2 linked regions of the Oryctolagus cuniculus genome follow. The protein of the gene in region 1 purifies or fractionates together with the protein of each later gene. This does not show direct contact. Links are inferred from orthologs where the notes say so. Each region holds a gene or a part of one and is shown in the gene's direction. Other genes may lie near its edges.

Region 1 (4,513 bases):
GCCAGGAGCCAGGAGCTTCTTCTGAGTCTCCCACATGGATACAGGGACCCAAGGACTTCCACTACTTTTCCAGGGCATAACAGAGAGCTGGATCAGAAGTGGAGCAGCCGGGACTTGAACCAGTGCCCATATGGGATGCTGGCATCACAGCCAACGGCTTTACCTGCTACTCCACAGCACCACCCCCCAAATATTTATTTATTTATTTGAGAGGCAGAGTTACAGAGAGAGAGAGAAGATGTCTTTCATCTGCTGGTTCACTCCCCAAATTGCTGCATTGGTTGGAGCTGGGCCGATCCGAAGCCAGGAGCCAGGAGCTTCTTCCAAGTCTCCCATGCAGGTGCAGGGGCCCAAGCACTTGGGCTATCTTCTACTGCTTTCCCAGGCCATCAACAGGGAGCTGGATTGGAAGTGGAGCAGTTGGGACTTGAACCAGTGCCCATAAGGGATACCACCACCACAGGGTGAGGATTAACCTACTAAGCCACATGCCGACCCCAAACTCATGCATCTTTGATAATGACTTTATTTAGAAATAGGGTCTTGAAGGGGTAGCTTTGTTACAATGAAGTTATCAGGGTAGGCCTTAATCCAAATGTGGACAGGACAGTACAGAGGGAAGACCATGTGAAGACACAGGGAGAAGATAGCCTCCTACAAGTGAAAGGAGAGCAGTCCCAAAAGAAACCAACCATGCCAACACTTCGGTCTCATACTTCAGGGCTGTCGTTAAAGTCAGGCAGATGGGAAACTTGGTTATGGCAGCCCATGGGTGGACAGCGCCCTCCCTCACTCTGTTGCCTGGAAAGTGCTTCCCCACCCTGTGCTCCCTGTGCTCCGACTCAGAGTCCCCAGTGACACCTGGAGGCGCCTAGGCCTGCTGGGCTGACTCTGGGGCCCTTGGCACTTGGGTGCTGAGGTAGGGGCATCCCAGTAGGTAAGCTCTTTCTGCTAGGAAAGAACTTGTAAGGCAACGGGGTGTGCAGGGATGGGTGAAGGAAAACAGGGCTGCGGTGCCTTTCGTGTTCTCTGCCCCAGGAAGAGACAGAGGAGAAAGAAGCCACCTGGGGACCCGCGGGAGGAGAGGCGCCTACGCGAATCTCAAGACACTTTCCACGGACAGAAAGGGATACCCGCGCGTGTGAAACAACAGAGCTGGCATTCAGCTCTTGGGCTGGTCGCAGCGTGTCCGGACGCCCTCAGGGGAGCGCTTGTAGCCCTCCCACAGCCACCTGCCCGGAGGTGGTAGCCCTGGCCAGGGAGGGCAGAGCGGGCCGGCGCGCGCGTGCCCGGCACGTCCTGCGGGCGCTGCCCCTCCAGGCGCGCTCCCGTCCCCGCCGTACTCCACCCCCTGCCCCCGGCAGGGCTCGGTGGACCCCGCGACTGGGGCCGCGCACGCCCCTCCGGCCGCCAGGACCCCGGGTCGCGCGCGCCCCGCGTCCCCTCCCCGCCTGGACCGGCGTGCGCGGGCTCAGGCTCCCGCTCCCGCTGGCGGCGGCGGCAGCGGCGGCGGGGATTGTTTTTGTTGTCGCTGAGGCCGGAAGAGCCGCAGGAGCCCGGTCTCTGTCCCCCGGCCGAGCGCCGCCGCCGCCCCCTGCCCAGCGCCCGCGTCTCCGCGGCGCTTCCCCAGCGCCAGTATTCCCGAGATCAAGCGTTACGCGGCGGCGGCGGGGCCCGGAGCGGGAGGCGCCGGGGACCGGGGCGAGGCGGCCCCCTCCGCCGCCATGGAGGCGCTGGGACCCGGTGAGGAGAGCGCTCGGGCCGGGTTGGGGCCGGACCCGGGGCCAGGGGCGGGCGGGCGGGTCTGCAGCTGCCCTGTCGCCCGCCGGCGGGCACACCCGGGCTCAGGCTCCAGGCCTCCGGGAAGGGGATCGGTGCCCCGCGACGCACGGAGCGCGGCGGAGGGAGCGGACCCGGGCCGCAGGGGGCGGGGACCGCGCCCCAGCCGGGAGACGCAGGCTGGAGCTGGTGCGGAGGCCTAGGAAGGTGTCTCCAGGTGCAGGGGCCACCTGACACAACCCCATCAGGGGAATCTGTGCCCCAGGGTCGCGGCGAGACTACTTTGGTCCTCATAGGGGACATCTATGTCCGGTGCGCACGAAGGCCTGGTCCTGGCTGGGCAGGTCCCCCGCCTGCTCCCTTGGGTATTCTGGGTTCGGGGCCGCACCCCTGTTTTTCTTTGCGATCCAGAGCCCTCAGTGGGGGAAGAACCTCCCTGAGACGCCGCTCTTGACCCCTGAAGGCCCAGGAGCAAACATGCTTTTCCGGAAGGCGCTGAAGTCTCACGGAACCTGCTGCCATGCCTCTGTCTGTCAGCCAGTGTGTCTGTCGCAGAGTAGTCGAGGCTAGCCCTTGAGTGGCAGGGCAGCCACCAGCCAGCTGGCTCCGGAGCAGGCTTATGTGTCTCGAGGACTCTTCTAATGGGGCTGTGAGTGGTTGCGAGGATGCAATGAAGGAGAAAGTGCTTTGGAAACGATCTCTCTGTGGCTGTGCAGGCTTCTTGTTGCCTCCCTCACTCTGCCCAAACCCAAGGAACCCTCCAGGTGGTCACAGATACCCTCTTAGTGGGGGCCTGGGTCTCCCACCTGGTCTCTGATGCCTTGGCTCAGTGGAGTCGGGTTGAGGGGATGTGGTGGAATTAACTTTAATTTGCAAGCCTTGCTTTAATTGTAGAGGATTTCATTTTTCTTAGTGCTTAGAGAAATCAGTTTGCCATTTGTGTTCGGGAACTTTTCAGAGTTGTTGACTTAGGATTTGTTTGCATAACTGAGCACACTCCACCTTGATTTGCTGTTTCTGCTGTTTTTAAAAGGACCTCCTCAAATTTTATATGCCTTTGAAAAATAAATTGGTGTCACATGAAGATTATTTGATAAACCTCATTGTAATGTGCTAGGTTACTTAATATCTGTTCTGCCGCTAAAGACACGATCTAGACTTTAGGAATATAACAGACTTCTGTTCAAATGCAATCTAGTAATTTTTTTAACTTTTATTTAATGAATATAAATTTCCAAAGTACAGCTTATGGATTTCAATGGCTTCCCCCCCCGGAAATCTAGTAATTTAATCATTGTATGACCGTAGGCAAGTTACTTAATTCCTTTGAACTTTCATTTCCTCATCTATAAAATGAGGCTAATAATAATTAGGTGCTGCAAGATTGTTGTGAGAATGAAATGAGATAATGTATGTGAGAAATCTGATTGTAGAGGTTAAGACTTATAGATGCTCAAGAAATATTTCCTCCCCTCCCATGAATAACTCATAATCAAGGCAGCTGTTGCATTTATGAGTTGATGTGCAAAGAAACTATGCAACTGTGTGCACATGCTGAATTCCAAGGAATGGATCCACCTGTGGTGTTAGGAATTGGCCAGGGACTAGTTTTTGGTTTGATTTTTAGCTTTTGCAGGTTTGAGGACTTCTCAGTTTACCCAGGATTGTTCAAATTGTGGTTACGAAAGGCACTTATGAGTAAGCCGAAATGTCACATAGATCATTTCTATTGACTGGAATATTTTCCTGTCTGCTGTGTAGCAAACTCCTTTTATTGGTGTTGTAGTGCCTTGGAAACCCAAAGAGTAAAAGAAGCTGCTTCCTGAGCAGTAGAAATCAGAACAAACAGGGTTGATAGCCTTGGATATTTATTTTTTTAACAGATATGCATTTTTCCGTGAACTTTTAGGAATATTATTTATTTTCTTTATTTAAAGGGTGTGTGTGGGGAGATAACTTTTATCTTCTGATTCACTCCCTAAATGCCTGTGACAGCTAGGGCCAGGCCAGACTGAAGTCAGAAGCCTGGAACTCAATCAGGGTTTCCCACGTAGTGGTAAAAATGGAAGTACATGGACCATCTCCTCTGCTTCCCAGGGTGTGGGTTAGCAGGGAGCTGGATCAGAAGTGGAGCTAGGACTCAAACCTAGGGATTCCACTATGGGATGTGAGTATCCCAAGCAACGACTTAAGCACCGTACCAAAGTCTTGCCCCATTCTTTGATATTTCATCCAGGCTGTTTCAGGACTAGAAAAGCAACTCTGCTTCCCTCAACACACACCTTCACCTGGTGCTTTGTGACCTCCTCACCTGAACAGCCACTGAAGCTTTCTCAGTCTTCTCTGCAAGCCCTCCCACACCCTCGCCACCACCACACACACCCCTTTGTTTCAGTTTCTGACAGTCTCTCCAAGACAGAATTAATTAGATTACCGCTTTTTTTTTGTTACATTGACTATATCTTTTATTATTGCTGTGCTTTATAGTTTGGAAAATGCCTTTGTAACTAGAAGGTAAGTGAGGCAGGTGTTTGTCCCCATTTTACAGATAAGAAGAGTGAGATGCCACCAGTATAAAAAGGGGCAGGCCTTGTGGCACAGTGGGTTAAGCCATCACTTGGGTTGCCCACATCCCATATCAGAGTGCCTGGTTCAAGACTCTGTTACTGTACTTCCTGATACAGCTTCCTGCTAATGCACACCCTGGGAGGTAGCAGATGCTGGCTCAAGTACT
Region 2 (3,805 bases), on another chromosome or scaffold:
AGGTGGGGAATGTGTACCCCAGACCTGGGCTGTCTGGGTGGCCGTGTGCTCTCACGTCCCCTCAAGCTCCATACCCTGAGGGATAGACATGCACAGTCCCCTGAGACCTGGACATGAGAAGGCCCAAAGGTCCCTGGTCTGGTGTGGCTCACTGCTGCCCGCCCCCGTGATGAGCTGGAGGCAAGGGGACGTAGGGAAGGAAGCCAGGGAGCGGGTGGTCCTCCGAGTGTCCGTCAGAGCCGCTGTGCTCTGCCCGTGCCACCGCCCACAGCCTTGGGAAACCGACTCGGTTTTGTTTCTTTTCTTTTCTTTCCCCTTGTTCAGGTTCCAGCTGGGGTGAGAGCAGCTCAGGGAGAATAACAAATTGGCTTGTTCTAAAAAACCTTACACCTCAGGTAAGGGCGCCAGGGCCTTGGTCTGTGTGAGCTGAGGGCTCCTGGGTGGTAGTCAGGGCTGGCCACGGCCAGTGGGCACGGAGGCCAGCCCGAAACCCGGATTCCTGGGTCTCGCCCAGCGGGCTGGGGTCTGGGCACCAGCATTTCATGAGGGCATTTAGATGGACAGATGCACGTGGCTCCTGCTACGCCTTAAGAAAGCCTGGTCTGCTCTTTATTATAATTATTGTTATCGATGTTTTATTCTCTTTATTTGAAAGGCAGAGAGAGAATGAGAATCTTCCATCCTCTGGTTCGCTCCTCAAATGCCCACAACAGCCAGGGCTGAGCCAGGCCCAAGGCAGGCGCTCAGGACTCCTCTGGGTCTCCCGTGAGGGTGGCAGGGCCCCAAGTACCCTCCCCTCCTGTCTGCTCTTTGAGCTTAGAGCATTTTCTTAGCCCCTGGCGGCTGGATATTATGAACCCAGCTCGCTTCCCACCCCAGGAGCAGTGCCTTGATGGGCCCCGTCCTCGCGTCAGGGAAGAGAAAATACGAAGCCGCAGCAGGGGCAGGGGCTACAGAACTGGGGTCCTGGGGGTGTCCGGGGGCCTCAAGGCCCCAAAGGTGCTGCTCTGGGAGGAAGGTGAGGAGGGGGCGCCGTCTCCCAGCCCAGCGAGGGCCACGGAAGCGCAGTGCCAGGAGCAGCGCCGAACCCGGGACCGCTTTCCTGCTGGCCCTCACGGCGCCTTCTCCGCCCGCCCGGCGTCCCGCTCTCTCCTAGATCGATGGCTCAACTCTGCGCACCCTGTGCATGCAGCATGGCCCGCTCATCACATTCCACCTGAACCTCCCACATGGAAACGCGCTGGTCCGTTACAGTTCAAAAGAAGAGGTAGTGAAGGCACAAAAGTCTCTGCACATGTGAGTAGGCCGTGCCCCTGCGGCGGCGAAGCTGGGGGCGGGGGGGGCCCGGCGCCCGTGCCCCCGCTGCAGCACACTGCCAGTCAGCCCTGGGCGCCGTGGCTTCGCTCCCAGGAGAGCGCAGCAGGCTCTCGGCACCACGCTGGCCTGGAGGAGGTTACTCTGGGAACGGCCGGGCCAAGCCACCCGCGCGCTCCCTCTGCACGGTGCGGAGCTGTTGTCCCGCGGCCAGGCTGCGCCCTTGTTTGGGAATCGGGAAGCCCTTGGGGAGCGTCCTCACGTGCCCGCTGTGCTCTCTCCGCAGGTGTGTACTGGGGAACACTACTATTCTTGCTGAGTTTGCCAGTGAAGAGGAGATCAGTCGTTTCTTTGCACAAAGTCAGTCTCTGACCCCTTCTCCTGGCTGGCAGTCTCTCGGGTCCAGCCAGAGCCGGCTGGGCTCCCTCGACTGTTCCCACTCGTTCTCCAGCCGGACCGATCTCAATCACTGGAATGGTGCTGGGCTGTCGGGAACTAACTGTGGAGACCTTCACGGCACTTCACTCTGGGGGACCCCCCATTATTCCACAAGCCTGTGGGGTCCTCCCAGCAGCAGCGACCCCCGGGGAATTAGCAGCCCATCCCCCATTAATGCTTTTCTTTCTGTTGACCACCTGGGTGGGGGTGGAGAGTCCATGTAACGGTGTAGACGTAGACTCACAAACTGTGACCTCAAGACGCGAAAGAAAGGAGCACTAAGTTGGGCTCGCCGCCTGCAGCCAGGGGCCACCTGTGGGAACAGCTATTCTCTGCACATTTTCCACTTTGTTTTCCCCAAAACATATCAGTTTGAATACTTGAATCATGCAGGCCAATATTATAATGTGAAAAGGTATCTATCTATCTACACTCCCAAATAGCGCCATACATGCTAAGCCGTATCGAACGAGCTCACTCGTGTGTATTCATCATGTTTAGCCTTCGGAGTCTTTCTTTTTTCTACCCCTCCCCTTCTTTCTCTTTTTTTTTGTTTTCTTTTTTTCTTTTGCAAAACCATTTTTTGGGCTGATAATGTATGAGCTTTTACCTTTGCACTGAAGGATGTTCTCTCCGTCTAATCGGCAACGTGGGGGGGCAGCTGTTCCAGTGTAAGTGTTTACTCAAGGATGCTCTTCCAAGGTGTGCGCTCTCTACTATGCCTTGATGTTGCCTACCTTGTTGTGGTATCGTGGAGTTTAAAAGATCAAGTTATGATACTGACTTAGGATTATTAATGAAAGTGTTGCACCAGTTTTTTCATGTTGTAAAACTAAAGAATTTCGCTCTGCAGTTTGAAAAACTGTGGCCACAGCTGTGACTTGCAGCCCACCTGCCACCCAGGACGGGCCCTGCACTTTGAATAGGCTTTCCATTTTGTTTTGAAGGTTCCCACGGTGAACCTTCTTGTTTACAGATTTTTTTGTTTGTTTTTGAGAAGAAAAATGTTTACTCTCCATCATTTAAAAAAAATTTAAAAGACAAAAAAAAAATGGAGGATGATTTAAAAGATGCTTTCTATCTCTGGGAAAAAGGAGCAGCATTTGGCCATGTTCTTTTGTTTTCTATTCTTGTCCTAAATCAAAGAGCATGGTTCTCAGGAAAACCAGTTCCCCAGTTTAAAAAAAACAAAAAACAAAAAAAAAAATCCTTGTAGTTTCTTATAGGAAAAAAAAGAAAAACCCCAACTTTTAGCACTGATACTACGTATTGCTCTGTTAAAGAATTTTCTCTGCCAAAAAAACAAAAAACAGGAAAAAAAAATGCTTAAAGCTGGAGTTTGACATTCTGCTTTCAGATGCTGTCTTTTTATTAGTGAGTGATGATGGTTTGCTAATAATCAGTAGGTAATCATTTTTGTAATCCCATCAAGTGGCTCTCTGTTTCTGCTCTCTCGTGACTGTGTTCATGTTTAACTGTTGTCCCTTAAAGCCGAAATCCGTAACTATGCATACTGTAACCAAGGTATTGGGCTTACAGAGTTGTTTGTTGTATAAAGAAAATTTTAAATGTTGTTGCAAACTAACGAGTTACACCATTTTTAAATTTCTCCCCCCCCCCTTTTTTTGCCCACAAATGGTATTATAATGCTTGCTTAGTCAAAGAAGAGAGACTAAACAAGGGTAAAAATTTTAACAGTACAGAATTTGCCATCATTTCATTGCCTTGATTCTAACTGTTTGTGTCCTAAGATGCAAAAGAAGTCAGTGGCTTTTAACTGTTTACAAATAGAATGTGATTGTAAAATGTACAGTTTGGTTGTGTTTGAATTATGAAATTTCTTCAGATATAATAAACCATGACTTTTTGGCTGCTCAACATTAATTGTCTCTTTTTTGTGAATTTATTTGTAGGCTCTTTTTTATAATGAAAGTTTCAAAGTTGCTATGTATGAGGGTTCTCATAGAGCAACCGATTAAACATCTAAGCAAAGATTTGAACATTTTCTCTGAACTCGCCCACAATGCCACCCTGAAACAATGTGAGAACGATG

What was found.
Region 2: the proteins of protein argonaute-4 (region 1) and TNRC6A purify together in Homo sapiens (co-immunoprecipitation; 4 studies listed by BioGRID and IntAct, with this or other methods). This does not show direct contact. The link is inferred for Oryctolagus cuniculus from reciprocal best matches to the Homo sapiens genes AGO4 and TNRC6A.

What each region holds. Positions count from the first base shown.
Region 1 is NC_091438.1:136,830,471-136,834,983, reverse strand, and holds the start of protein argonaute-4, read left to right. Parts: upstream 1-1,489; 5' UTR 1,490-1,724; coding exon 1,725-1,743; intron 1,744-4,513.
Region 2 is NC_091450.1:14,640,368-14,644,172, reverse strand, and holds part of TNRC6A (trinucleotide repeat-containing gene 6A protein), read left to right. Parts: intron 1-324; coding exon 325-395; intron 396-1,156; coding exon 1,157-1,296; intron 1,297-1,600; coding exon 1,601-1,976; 3' UTR 1,977-3,805.